3 linked regions of the Canis lupus familiaris genome follow. Each later gene encodes a partner of the first gene's protein in a complex. Links are inferred from orthologs where the notes say so. Each region holds a gene or a part of one and is shown in the gene's direction. Other genes may lie near its edges.

What was found.
Region 2: the proteins of MED7 (region 1) and MED31 are in contact, whole or in part, in a cryo-EM structure (PDB 7EMF), measured with the Homo sapiens proteins. The link is inferred for Canis lupus familiaris from reciprocal best matches to the Homo sapiens genes MED7 and MED31. Residues at the interface, in NP_001094286.1 of Homo sapiens: Met15, Gln16, Tyr17, Ile18, Lys19, Tyr21, Thr22, Asn25, Ile26, Lys33, Pro34, Pro35, Pro36, Pro37, Ile38, Lys39, Asp40, Tyr42, Met43, Met44, Phe45, Gly46, Gln48, Gln50, Asp52; in NP_057144.1 of Homo sapiens: Asn14, Arg15, Leu16, Arg17, Phe18, Gln19, Leu20, Glu21, Leu22, Glu23, Phe24, Gln26, Tyr33, Phe36, Leu37, Tyr42, Asp45, Ala47, Phe48, Asn50, Tyr51, Tyr54, Tyr57, Glu62, Tyr63, Lys65, Tyr66, Lys68, Tyr69.
Region 3: MED7 (region 1) and MED18 share a complex: the UniProt entries of both Homo sapiens proteins name them as parts of the mediator complex. The link is inferred for Canis lupus familiaris from reciprocal best matches to the Homo sapiens genes MED7 and MED18.

The regions. Positions count from the first base shown.
Region 1 is NC_049225.1:53,884,021-53,887,767, forward strand, and holds the start of MED7 (mediator of RNA polymerase II transcription subunit 7), read left to right. Parts: upstream 1-1,504; 5' UTR 1,505-1,571; intron 1,572-3,747. UniProt on the Homo sapiens protein: Component of the Mediator complex, a coactivator involved in the regulated transcription of nearly all RNA polymerase II-dependent genes.
Region 2 is NC_049226.1:30,892,207-30,895,953, forward strand, and holds the start of MED31 (mediator of RNA polymerase II transcription subunit 31), read left to right. Parts: upstream 1-1,151; 5' UTR 1,152-1,279; coding exon 1,280-1,307; intron 1,308-2,005; coding exon 2,006-2,083; intron 2,084-2,370; coding exon 2,371-2,467; intron 2,468-3,747. UniProt on the Homo sapiens protein: Component of the Mediator complex, a coactivator involved in the regulated transcription of nearly all RNA polymerase II-dependent genes.
Region 3 is NC_049223.1:71,511,922-71,515,668, reverse strand, and holds the start of MED18 (mediator of RNA polymerase II transcription subunit 18), read left to right. Parts: upstream 1-1,399; 5' UTR 1,400-1,578; intron 1,579-2,155; 5' UTR 2,156-2,225; coding exon 2,226-2,298; intron 2,299-3,747. UniProt on the Homo sapiens protein: Component of the Mediator complex, a coactivator involved in the regulated transcription of nearly all RNA polymerase II-dependent genes.

The DNA.
Region 1 (3,747 bases):
AGAAACTTTAGAATCAAAGATTAAAGGTAGTTGAAAGACACATCAGCCAGTTACAAAGGCTTATTGGATCCTGAAGCAATTGTTATCCAAATAAGGACTTGATTTTTATGATTTTTTTTTAAGAGAGGTAAGGGGGGGGGGTGTGTGGAGCAGAGGGCAGGAGAGAGAGAATCTTAAGCAGGCTGCAGGCTGAGCACACAGCCTGACATGGGGCTGTCTCATGACCCCAAGATCAAGAACTGAGCTGAAATTGAGAATCAGAAGCTTAAACAATTGAGCCACCTAAGTGCCCTTGATTTTGATGAATTTAAATAATTACTATTTTATTTTATTTTTTTTAAAAAAGATTTTATTTATTCATGAAAGACAGAGAGACAGGCGGAGATGTAGGCAGAGAGACAAGCGGGCTCCATATCTGGAGCCTGTCGCAGGACTTGATCCCAGGACCCTGGGATCACAACTTGAACCAAAGGCAGACACGGAACCACTGAGCCACCCAGGCACCTCTACTAACTTATTTTTAAATGATATAACACCTGTATCCTTATGGGGGAAAATGAGAGTCCTATTTTGGACGTGTATATTAAAACGAAATAATGTCTAGATCTAATGGGTAGATATAGATTGAAGGTGGATAATGAGTACACTTTTTTTTTTAAAGATCTTATCTATTTGAGAGAGGAAGAGAGAGAGCAAGAGCAGTGTGAGGGGAGGGGGAGAAGCAGATTCCCTGCTGAGCAGGGAGCCCAAGTAGGGCTTGATGCCAGGACCCTGGGATCACGACCTGAGCTGAAGGCAGAGGCTTCACCCACTCAGCCACCTAGGCGCCCCTCTACTTTTGCATATACTCGGAATCTCGTTCTTTTCTAAAAAATGAAACCAAGTAATCTTATTTTAGAGGCAAAGTTGAAAACTTTTATCAGAATAACAATTTTCTTTTATGTCCAGTATGCTCTCGTCAGATTTCCACGAATTTATAAGTTTGTTACTTCTTCTGAAAATTACCTCCCAAAAACTTTGATACATTTTTTGTTACCTGGAAACATAGCTATGTTTCAATTCCTAAATGAAAATAAATATGAATGTGAAGAAATAGAAACTGAGAACGCTATGAATTCCCGATCTCGTTCATAAATATTTCCAGATTGAAAATAAATGTAATGCTATTTTGGACAGTAGGATTAGAGTCGATCTAATTTTTAAAAATCGGCTTATCTGCATTTTCTAATTTTCATGTAAGGCAAACGGATAAGTTAATCTCAGGTGTCAAAAAAAAAAAAAAGATAACAAAGGAGCGAAGCTACCAGTTGCAGCTTTTACTGATAGAAAGTACTAGCACAGACACCCCCACGCCCGAGGCCGCCGGCGACCCGACCGCCGAGGGCGCGGGGAGATACGCGCAGGCGCAGTAGCAAGGTTTTGGTTGGAGGCGGGACTAGAGCGGCGGCTAACATACAGTTCTCTCAGCCAATCAAGGGGCAGTGTCACGGGCTTCTTCCTGGAGGAGGTGGCCGGAAGTCGGCTTTCGGTTGCGGAGGCGAAGGCGGCTCCAGCGTCAAGCCTGGGCTGAGGTAAGTGGGCGGCGACGGCTTGCGGCTTCGTGCCGCGTGCGTCTCGCCTTCCGGACCCCGCGGCTCCCCCAGGGCCGGCTGGGAATGGGGGAAGCCTGGCGCGGACACGCTCCGTCACCTTCCTCTCCCACATCCCTCGGAGATGCGGCCTCGCTGCTGCTCGCGGGGAGCCGGGCGGAAGGTGCCGTCGGCGCGGCGCGCTCGGGGCTTCCTCCGTGGGGGAGCCCTGAGTTCCAGTCCCGCGCCGCGGGTGTGCTGAGCCGGGCGGACGTGGCGGGCCTCGGCCCCCGGGCCTTGCCCGCGCTCGTCGGGGATGGAGCCTGAGGTCGGCCGCGGTAGTGCGGGGTGCAGGAGGCCGCGATCCCAAGCCTGGTGGCCACGTCGAGGGGGAGGTGTTCGGGGGCGGGGCGGGACCCTGGAATGCCTTCCTGTCGGCTGAGCCCCACGGAAGGGGGGTCTGGGGTCCGGTCACCGGCCGTGACGCTTGGCGCCGGTTTCAGTGGAGACACCGCCTCGGAAGAGTTGGCCCCAGAGAAGCGGTGGAGGAATGAGCAGAATCGGTGCGACTCGTCAGGTTGCTTCCGTGGGCGAGCCTGCCCTGGGCCGCGGAAAGGAGCCGGGATGAGGAGCGTTGCCGTGGACTCGCTAGCCCCGACGCGGCGCAGGCGGCCCCTCCGAGACGCGGAGTCTTCCTCTCGCGAAGGAAGCTGACAGGCGTGTGAGGAAGACCGAGAGGCTTTTTTTTTTTTTTTAATTTTTTTTTTTTTTAAAGATTTTATTTATTTATTCATGAGAGACCCAGGCAGACGGAGAAGCAGGCTCCTTGCAGACGTGGGACTCGATCTCGGATCCCCGGATCCCGCCCTGAGCCACCCAGGCGTCCGCCGAGAGGCTTTAAAACGTGCCAGTCACGTGGGACTGGGAACCTGCACGTTGAATAGAGGAGTGCTTGTGGCTTGTGGCGTGGGGAGGCGCGGAACCGGGCGCCCAACTAAAAATGCTTGAGTGAGGCAGAGCCTGGGCTGTCTCTTACAGTCGCTTTTGAAGTAACCAGATCAATGCTAATTCTCTGATTTTGGTAGTAATCACATATAAACACTGTTTATCACCCCCACCTCCACCCCCCACTCCCCGCAAGCAGTTTTACCCCTTTTACTCGAGGGCCGCCTTATATTACAGAGAAATATTTTATCCACTCCTCATATTGATGAAGTCATGGATGATTTCCGGCTTTTCCTACTCTTTTCAAACCTCGCTGCATTAAACACCCTTGGTGCACATTTTTATGCACTTGTGACGTAGGACAGATGTTAGGGTTTGAAACCAACAGCCAAGAAAGAGTTCTTGAGACGTCTGTGGTGCAAAAAAGTGGTCTTTATAGAAGCATGAGAGGGCAAGACCCTTGGACAGAAAGAGCTGCCCTGGGAGAGTGCGACCTCTGCTGGCATCCAGCGCCTGTCGCATGGAAGGTGTTCTAATATTTGTTGAATGATGGAGTATTTGAAATCTCGATAGTCCGTTAGATGAAAAGTATTCTTTTTAAAACTTTGCTTTTAGAAGTATATTAGTCTGAATAATTTTCTGCTTTTATTCAGCATTTGCATTTCCCTTGTCTTTTTTTTTTTTTTTTTAAGATTTTATTTACTTGAGAGAGAGGGAGCTAGCCCAGCGTGGGGAAAGGCAGAGGGAGAAGGGAGAAGCAGATTCCCTGCTAAGCTGGGAGCCGGATGCGGGCTCAATCCCAGGACCCTGAGATCAGGACCTGAATCCATGACTTGAGCCAAAGGCAGAAGCTTAACCGACTGAACCACCCGAGCCCTCCTCCTTGTCCTCTTTTGTCTATTATTCTGTTTTAAAAAACGGAGGTTAAAAAAAAAAAAAAAACTCAATCAGTGGGCCTTTATTGAGGATCTTTTAGGTGTTGAGGTGCTGGAGATGGAGTTGTGTATTCGGCAGTTCCTGAAGTCCTAGTGCCCTCCTTCCGGTGGGAGTGGAGTCAGAAAATAAATTTTTGAAAAGTCAAAATAAAATTTCCAATATTTGCTCTGTTAGCTTGCAGGCATTTTTCTCCCAAAAGAATGGGATTGTCTTTTAATTTTGCTTATGATAATTTTCCTGTGTGGAATTTTTAGACTTATTTTTGGTAGAACTGTTGGCCTTCTGTAGGAGCCTTAAA
Region 2 (3,747 bases), on another chromosome or scaffold:
CTTTGTGAACTTGCTGCTGCTTCTTTCGCTAACGTCCTCTCTCCTGTACCACGCTTGTCCCTCGCATAGCTCCAACAACGCTGGTCTTCTTTCTGTTCCAGAACATTCCAAGATTGCTCCCGTCCAGCCCTTGCGTTGCTGTCCCAGACCCCTGCACGGCTCACTGTCCACCCACACAAGCCTCAGATCCAAGTCCCCTAACCAAGGCCTTCCCTGACACTTCTGAGTGAGGAACCCCTCCCATTACCTGTTTCCTTCAGTTACTCATTGCGATAGAAAATGGTCTTTTCATCATTTGCCGTGTGCCCCTTCACCAGTGTGAGCTCCTGAGAGCCTGGGTCCTGCCTACCTTGTCCAAGTGCCCACAGAGGAGAGGCTCCATAAATAGTACTGCCCTCCCCGCCCTCTGCGAGACCCGGGCCGGGTTCCCTTCCGAGATCACGCCTCATGGTAGATGTTGACTTTTATCTAGTCTGACCTGTATGGAAATGTGTGTGACTGGGGGTGCCCGTACAGGGCACAGGGCTTAGCATAAACAAAATACCTGCTTGGTTTGAAACACAAAGGCCAACTGGTTAATTAATGGAGGTCTGTTTCTTGCCCCTCGGTTTCCGGCCGCGGTGTGATCCTCCCAGTGGTCACGGTTTGGGTTTGCTCCCTGTCCCCGAAGTCTGGATCGTGAGGGTGGTTGGAACAACAGCCTCCCTATCCATCAGCCCATCAGGCTGGCGGAGCGTCGCGGGCCTGCGGACCTCCAGTGCTGGCTTGCTGCAAGGGGGCTCCCGGGGTCAACGGTGCGGCCACCCGGCCGACGCGCGGCGGAGGGGGCTGGCCCAGTGCCGACCCCGCACCTGCCGCACCTGCCGCACCTGCCGCACCTGCCGCACCTGCCGCACCTGCCGCACCTGCCGCACCTGCGCTCGGGTCAAGGGGGGGGTCCCTGTGGGTTGGAACGGCCGCTGGGCGTTCTCCCGGCTGAGGACTGCCCCCGCGGGAGACCCCACCGAGGGGATGTAGGCGCTCCCGGAGGCGCTCGGGACCCCCGCGGCTACGTCACTGGGCGAGCAGAGAGGCGGGGACAGGACCCCTCCCGCGCTCGGAGCGCCCCAGCTCCGCCCCTCGCCCCTTGCGAGTCTGCGCGAGGCCGGTGGGCGGGGCCCGAGAGGACCGCCCCGCCCCGCATCCCACACTGCCCCGCGACAGGAAGTGGGGCCGCAGCTTCCGGGACCTCCGGGAAGCTGCTCGTCGTGCTGGTGACGTCTCGGCGCTTTTGCTGGCGATGGCCGCGGCCGTCGCTATGGAGACAGGTAGGTAGCGGCCGGAGCCCTGGCAAACACAGCTACAGCCGGCTGGCCTCCTCCTCCAGCTTCCCCCGGGACTCCTGTGTGGCGTGACTTCGGCGGGGCTCCTGTCCGCGGCTACCTCCTCCTCGCTTGCCGCGCAGACGCCGACCACCCCTCAGCCTCAACCCCTCCCGGGCCCCGACCCCGCGGCCTCCCGACCCATCCCAGGTCCTGGCCCTCCCAGCCTCCGGGCTCTGACACCCCCCTCCCCCGGGCCTCCCAAATCCTGCCGCCCCGAACCAGTCCCCCCTCCCCGCCAGGCCCTAGCGGGAGCACACTCGCCCCCTCCTCTTGCTTAGCTTGCAGCCCTCCGCCACTGGTCACCCTGGAGGTCCTGGGGAGTGGCTGCCAGAGGGTGAACATCCTGCCCAGGGGGCGCCCGCTTCCTCGGACTTCTCCTTAAGGAGTTACTGGTCTCATTAATCAGGGCCCTGCTCTCTAGACTTGGGAGGAAACGGCCCTCTCTTCCCACATCCAGCTTAGGACAGTCATCCCTGCCTTATGCCTTCAGAGATACTCTCAGCAATACTCAGAACACTCCACTGCTGTTTTCTTTCTACAAACCAGCACTTTAGATAGTCACCTTTATTTTGTTTTTTATTTATTTTATTTATTTTTTAGTCACCTTTACTTTGGATGATTTTTGCTCACTTCCCTCCTAGATGATGCCGGGAATCGACTTCGGTTTCAGTTGGAGCTGGAATTTGTGCAGTGCCTAGCCAACCCCAATTATCTTAACTGTAAGTCCTTGAGCTCTTACTGACTTGAGTAGCTGTTAGTGATCTCTGGCAGAAGAACTGCAGTTCCTAATGATACCTATTTTTATATGTTCTCAATCCAGTGGAATTAACTGCTACGCTTATACTGGTGTGTGTGAGAACAAATTGGGACTTATGTTCAGCATTTAGTGTGTGTTGGTGGTGGGGAAGTTATATAAGTAGATGCTTTATGTGAGGGGTCACAAATCAGTAGTCCGAGGATTGGTTTGCTCTACAGATTTTTTTGTTTGTTTGTTTATGCCTTTCAGTTCTTGCCCAAAGAGGTTACTTCAAAGACAAAGCTTTTGTTAATTATCTTAAGTACTTGCTTTACTGGAAAGAACCAGAATATGCCAAGTATCTAAAGTAAGTTTAATTTTTATAGTCCTAAATATGTGTATAGTTATTACATTAAAAATACTGATATTTGACAGATTTTCTCATTTCCCATTGGAAAAAAGTATATTTTGAATCTCTCCACTTCTTTCAGTTGCCTCCACCTTAATACAGAGCCACCCCCTCTCCAGCTTGGATTATTGCGGTGTCCACCCCCCTGCTTCTCCCTGCTTGTGCTCTTACCTTCCTTCTGTGTCCTCCCTCCCGCAAGCCAAACCAAGCAAAACAGTTTTCCACAGGGAAGCCAACTTGATCTTTCAAAAATGTAAATTATGACGTGGTATTTTCTTGCTTAAAACCTCCCAGTGGTTTCCCATTGCATGTGAAACAAAATCCTCTCTCTTTTCTCAGGTCTCTCTTTATCTATCTACCACTCACCCCATCTCACTGAATTTCTGACCCTAATGAACCCACAGTCTGTAGATGCAGTGGTATTACCTGAGGCTGAAGATTAAAGAACATCAGGTACTTGGAAGGTTTTCTGGAGGAGGTGACCTTACCTGACTCTTAATATAGGCATTCCTTGGATACTGTTGATGTGGTTCCAGGCCACTGCAATGTGGTGAATATTGCAATAAAGTGACCCAAGTTTTTGGGTTCTCTAGTGCGTATAAGGGTTGTTAACACTATAGCATTAAGTCAAGAAAGAGGTACATACCTTAATTTAAAAATATTGTTAAAAAACACTGTCATCTGAGGTTTTATGGAGTCTGATCACAGATCACCCTAACAAATACAATGATAAAGAAAAGTTTGAAATGTGAGAATTATCAAATAATGACAGACATAAAGTGAGCAAATGTAGTTGGAAAAATGGTACCCATAGACTTGCTTGCTGATGGGTTGCCACACGCCTTTAATTTTTAAACAAAAAGTCCAAAAAACAAACCCAAACCAGTGTGTCTATAGCTGCTGTGCCTCCTCTGTGCCAAGCATCACACTTGTTTCAACCTTGAACCCATCCCTCTTCTTTGTCTTCACTAGGTAGTCAGAAAGCAATAGTTGAACTTCTTGTCTTTCTTTTTTTTTTTTTTTTTTTTTTTCTTGTCTTTCTTTTAAACAAACACGTTTGATAGGAAAATGATTCAGACTTGTACTTTATCCAAGTCACTTTTTATTTTTTGTATTTTTATTTTTTTTCCAAGTCACTTTTTTGATTTGTGTCAACTGATTCACAAAACCCACATCCTTCTCCCTGCAGGACCCTGTACACCCTGACTGCTCCTTTATGAACAGCCACTTATTCATTG
Region 3 (3,747 bases), on another chromosome or scaffold:
ACCTGAAATTCCCTTTTCTCCCTTCTTTATCTAACACCTATTGACCCTTCAAGTTACTCTGGGCATTGATTACCTTTTCCAGGAATCCTTCCTTGATGCCCCCAAGATGGACCAAGCATCCTGCTTGCTTCCAAAGGGGATGAGCTGTTGATATCTCATTTTCCTATTGAATCAAACTTCATAGTACAGACTCCTTAGTTTAACCCTCTGATTCCCACAACATGCCTGTAAACTCATTTGAGGATACAGATGGAGTTAACACCTAACAAGATGTCGAGAACAGTCTAGACCTTCAAGAAATGTTCAATATTTTAAAAATTAATGAATGGGAGATAGTGGATTACAGCAGGGGAACTAGAGCTGTAAGTCCAGTACAGTAATTAAGAGAGGGCTCTGGGGATCCCTGGGTGGCTCAGCGGTTTAGGGCCTGCCTTTGGCCCAGGGCGTGATCCTGGAGTCCTGGGATCGAGTCCCATGTTGGGCTTCTGCATGGAGCCTGCTTCTCCCTCTGCCTGTGTGTGTGTGTGTGTGTGTGTGTATGTGTGTGTGTGATGAATAAATTAAAAAAAAATTTTTTAAGTGAGAGGGCTCTGAAGTCAACAGCTTATATTGGTATTGCAGCCATTCCTTTGCATGTTATTTAACAACTCGTTGCTTGGGTTTCCCCATCAGTAAAATTACCGTAATCATTGTACTTGGCTCATAGGGCTACTTTGAGGATCAAACTTAAAGTTTTGGTATTTTGTTCATTATTTATTGCCTTAAACTTGTAAAATACCGCATTGAAATAGTATTTATCTTAGCTACCGAGTTTCTGGTGTCCCTTTATTTTTTTCACTCCGAGGGTACCTCTTTCACTTCATTCTAGTCCTCACTTTGCACCTTATATGCTTGACAAATATTAGCAGCGTGCAACAAACATTCATTGAATTTATCTTCCTATATTTTCAAATTAAGTAAAATATATACAGTGAAGTGAACAAATATTAAGTGTATTGCTGAGCTCCCTAATTGTTCAGAACATTATGCTTTGCAATAAAAGGTGTCTCTTGGTCGTCAGGTACCCAACAAAAAAAGTCTATTTTGTAAGTCTGTTTACCGCAGCTCCCTTCCCTGGGCTCTCTTTTGCCCCCGTCAGTTTCAAGAGATTTCCTAGACAATATCATTCCAGATCGTCGAGCTTGAAAAAATATTTTCCTAGAGGACGCCAAATGACGTCAAGCGCCTCCCCTCCCCCGCCGTAAATCCCCGGGAAGCCTCCAAGGCAGGCCGCCATCTTCCATACCGCGGCCCTGCGTCTCGCGCATGCGCTTCTGTTTGCGAGGCTGCAAAGAGCGCGGTTTGGTTTTTTTTTAATCCCTTCTCGGCACCCTTACGTCGCGGAGCACCAGTGTCAAGATTTGCGTGACGTCCGCTTCCTGCCGGAAGTGGAAAGAAAAGAAGTTGTTGCACTACCTGGAGGGCTTTAACTTTAGGGCTGGGGGCTAGTTATTTAAATGCTGCTCGGAGGTGCTGGAGAGGATACATTACCCACTCTGCGAGAAGAGACCAGAGCGCGCTCGGAGGTGTGTTTCTAGTGTAAGTGGGCACGTGTCTTTGATGCTGCCTTAAGAGGACCTAAACCATCCTTTTAAAAGAATTTCACGCTTCCCCCCTCGCTCTCTTGGAAAGGCGTTTTCAGAGAGACGGAACGCCTAGATTTCAGTCTGATTCAAGCTCCGCCACCGACTTGCTGTGTATCCTTGGGCCCCTCTCCGAGACTCAATTATCTTCATCTATAAATTGAAGAGTAGACAATCTTTTAACAGACAACCTTTCAGTTCTGAATGTTTTTACATGTCCGAGCCACAAAGTCTTGGTTGGTTAAATATCGTTGGCCCCATTTTATAAGGAAGACATTGACTTCCAGGTTTGATGACTTCCTCAAAATTACACAGAAAACGTTTAGACACTGAGACTGGAAAGGTTGTGCTGTAACTCCATGACCAAGTATCCTTTGTATATTTCTGTATCATCAGTTCCTGAAGCTGGCCTATAGCAGTTACTCAAAAAATTTGAATGGTTGAATGAATCTTTTCATATCGAGGCCAGTGACACAAACAGATCTATTGTTTCTGTGCCCCGCTCATGTATTAACGATGTAACACTTCTCCAGGTGTTTATTGTGCTTTACTTGACTGGAGAGTCCGAAACCAGTTCTGTTGTCTTCAGCTCAATCAGACACCATGGAGGCACCGCCAGTCACCATGATGCCTGTCACTGGAGGCACCATTAATATGATGGAGTACCTGCTGCAGGGTAAGTAAACCAGGCAACTTGGATGACCTGTTTTCCTCTTTCTGATCAGCACTGTGGGGATGAGAGGCTGTTACACAAAGGCAGCCTGCATAATTTCTGGCACCCAATAAGACAACAACTTTTAAAAAATCTTTAAATGTTAATTATGGTCACCAACACATAATATTAAGTGTACATACAGTTCAGTAGTGTTAAGTATATTCACATTGTTGTATAACTGATCTCTAGGAACTTTTTCATCTTGCAGAACTGAAAGTCTATACCCATTAAACACTAATTACTCCTTTCCCCTCCCTCAGCTCTTGGCAACCACTTTTTGACTTTGTTTCTGATTTTGGCTACTTTTGATATCTTAGATGAATGGAATCATACAGTGCTTGTCTTTTTCTGACTGGCTTGTTTTGCTTAGCATAATGTCCTCAAGGTTCATCCTTATTGTAGCATCTGACGGGATCCCCCTTTTTAAAGCTGAATAACATTTCATTGTGTGTATAATCTGTTTATTTATAATTTATTTATTTACATTTTTAAAAATTTATTTATTTGTCATTTGGGTTGCTTTCACCTTTTGGTTATCATGAATAATGCTGCAGCAAACGTGAGTGTGCAAATATCTCTTCAAGATCCTGCTTTGAATTTTCGATATATGCCCAGAAGTGGGATTACTGGATCATATAGTAATTCTATGATACTGTCATTAGCCCCATTTTATAGATCAGGAAACAGGTAAAGTACCTTGCCCAGATGAGAAAACTCAAGATCCAGAGAGGGCAGTGATTTTCAGGAGGTCATTTAATGTTAGTGGAAGAGGTTAGACTTTAATTCAGATCATCCATTTAGTAACTTAATATGAACAACATTATTAATTTTCACTCCTCAAGCTACTTTTCAGTCTTTCCCAACCCAGTAAGTGCCACTGTCATTCACCAGTTGCATGAACCAAGCATTTAGGAGTCAATCTGTTTTTCACTTTACCCCCACATCTAGCATATCTCTAAATCCTATTCATTTTACTTCCAATGTATCTTTTAAATATTCTCTCCACCTACAGTACCACACCCTGGTTTACCATCCCTCATTTGAACTACTTTAGTAACCTTTTACTTATTCCATTGTTTCTACTTCTGACTAGCACTATCTCTTCTCATACCAATAGGTAGTCAGCTTTTTATTTTTTTTATTATCTTTTTTTTTTTTTTTTTAAAGTAAACTTTATGCCTGGCATAGGGCTTGAACTCAGGACCTGTACATTAAGAGTTGTGTGCTCAGGACACCTGGGTGGCTCAGTTGGGGGAGCATCCAACTATTAACTTTGGCTTAGGTCCTGATCTCAGGGTCTGGGATCAAGCCCCATGTCAGGCTCTGCCCTCAGTGGGGAGTCTGTTTCCCTCCCCCTCCATCTGCCCGTCTCCACCTGTGCAGGGCTCTCTATCAAATCTTTAAAAAAAA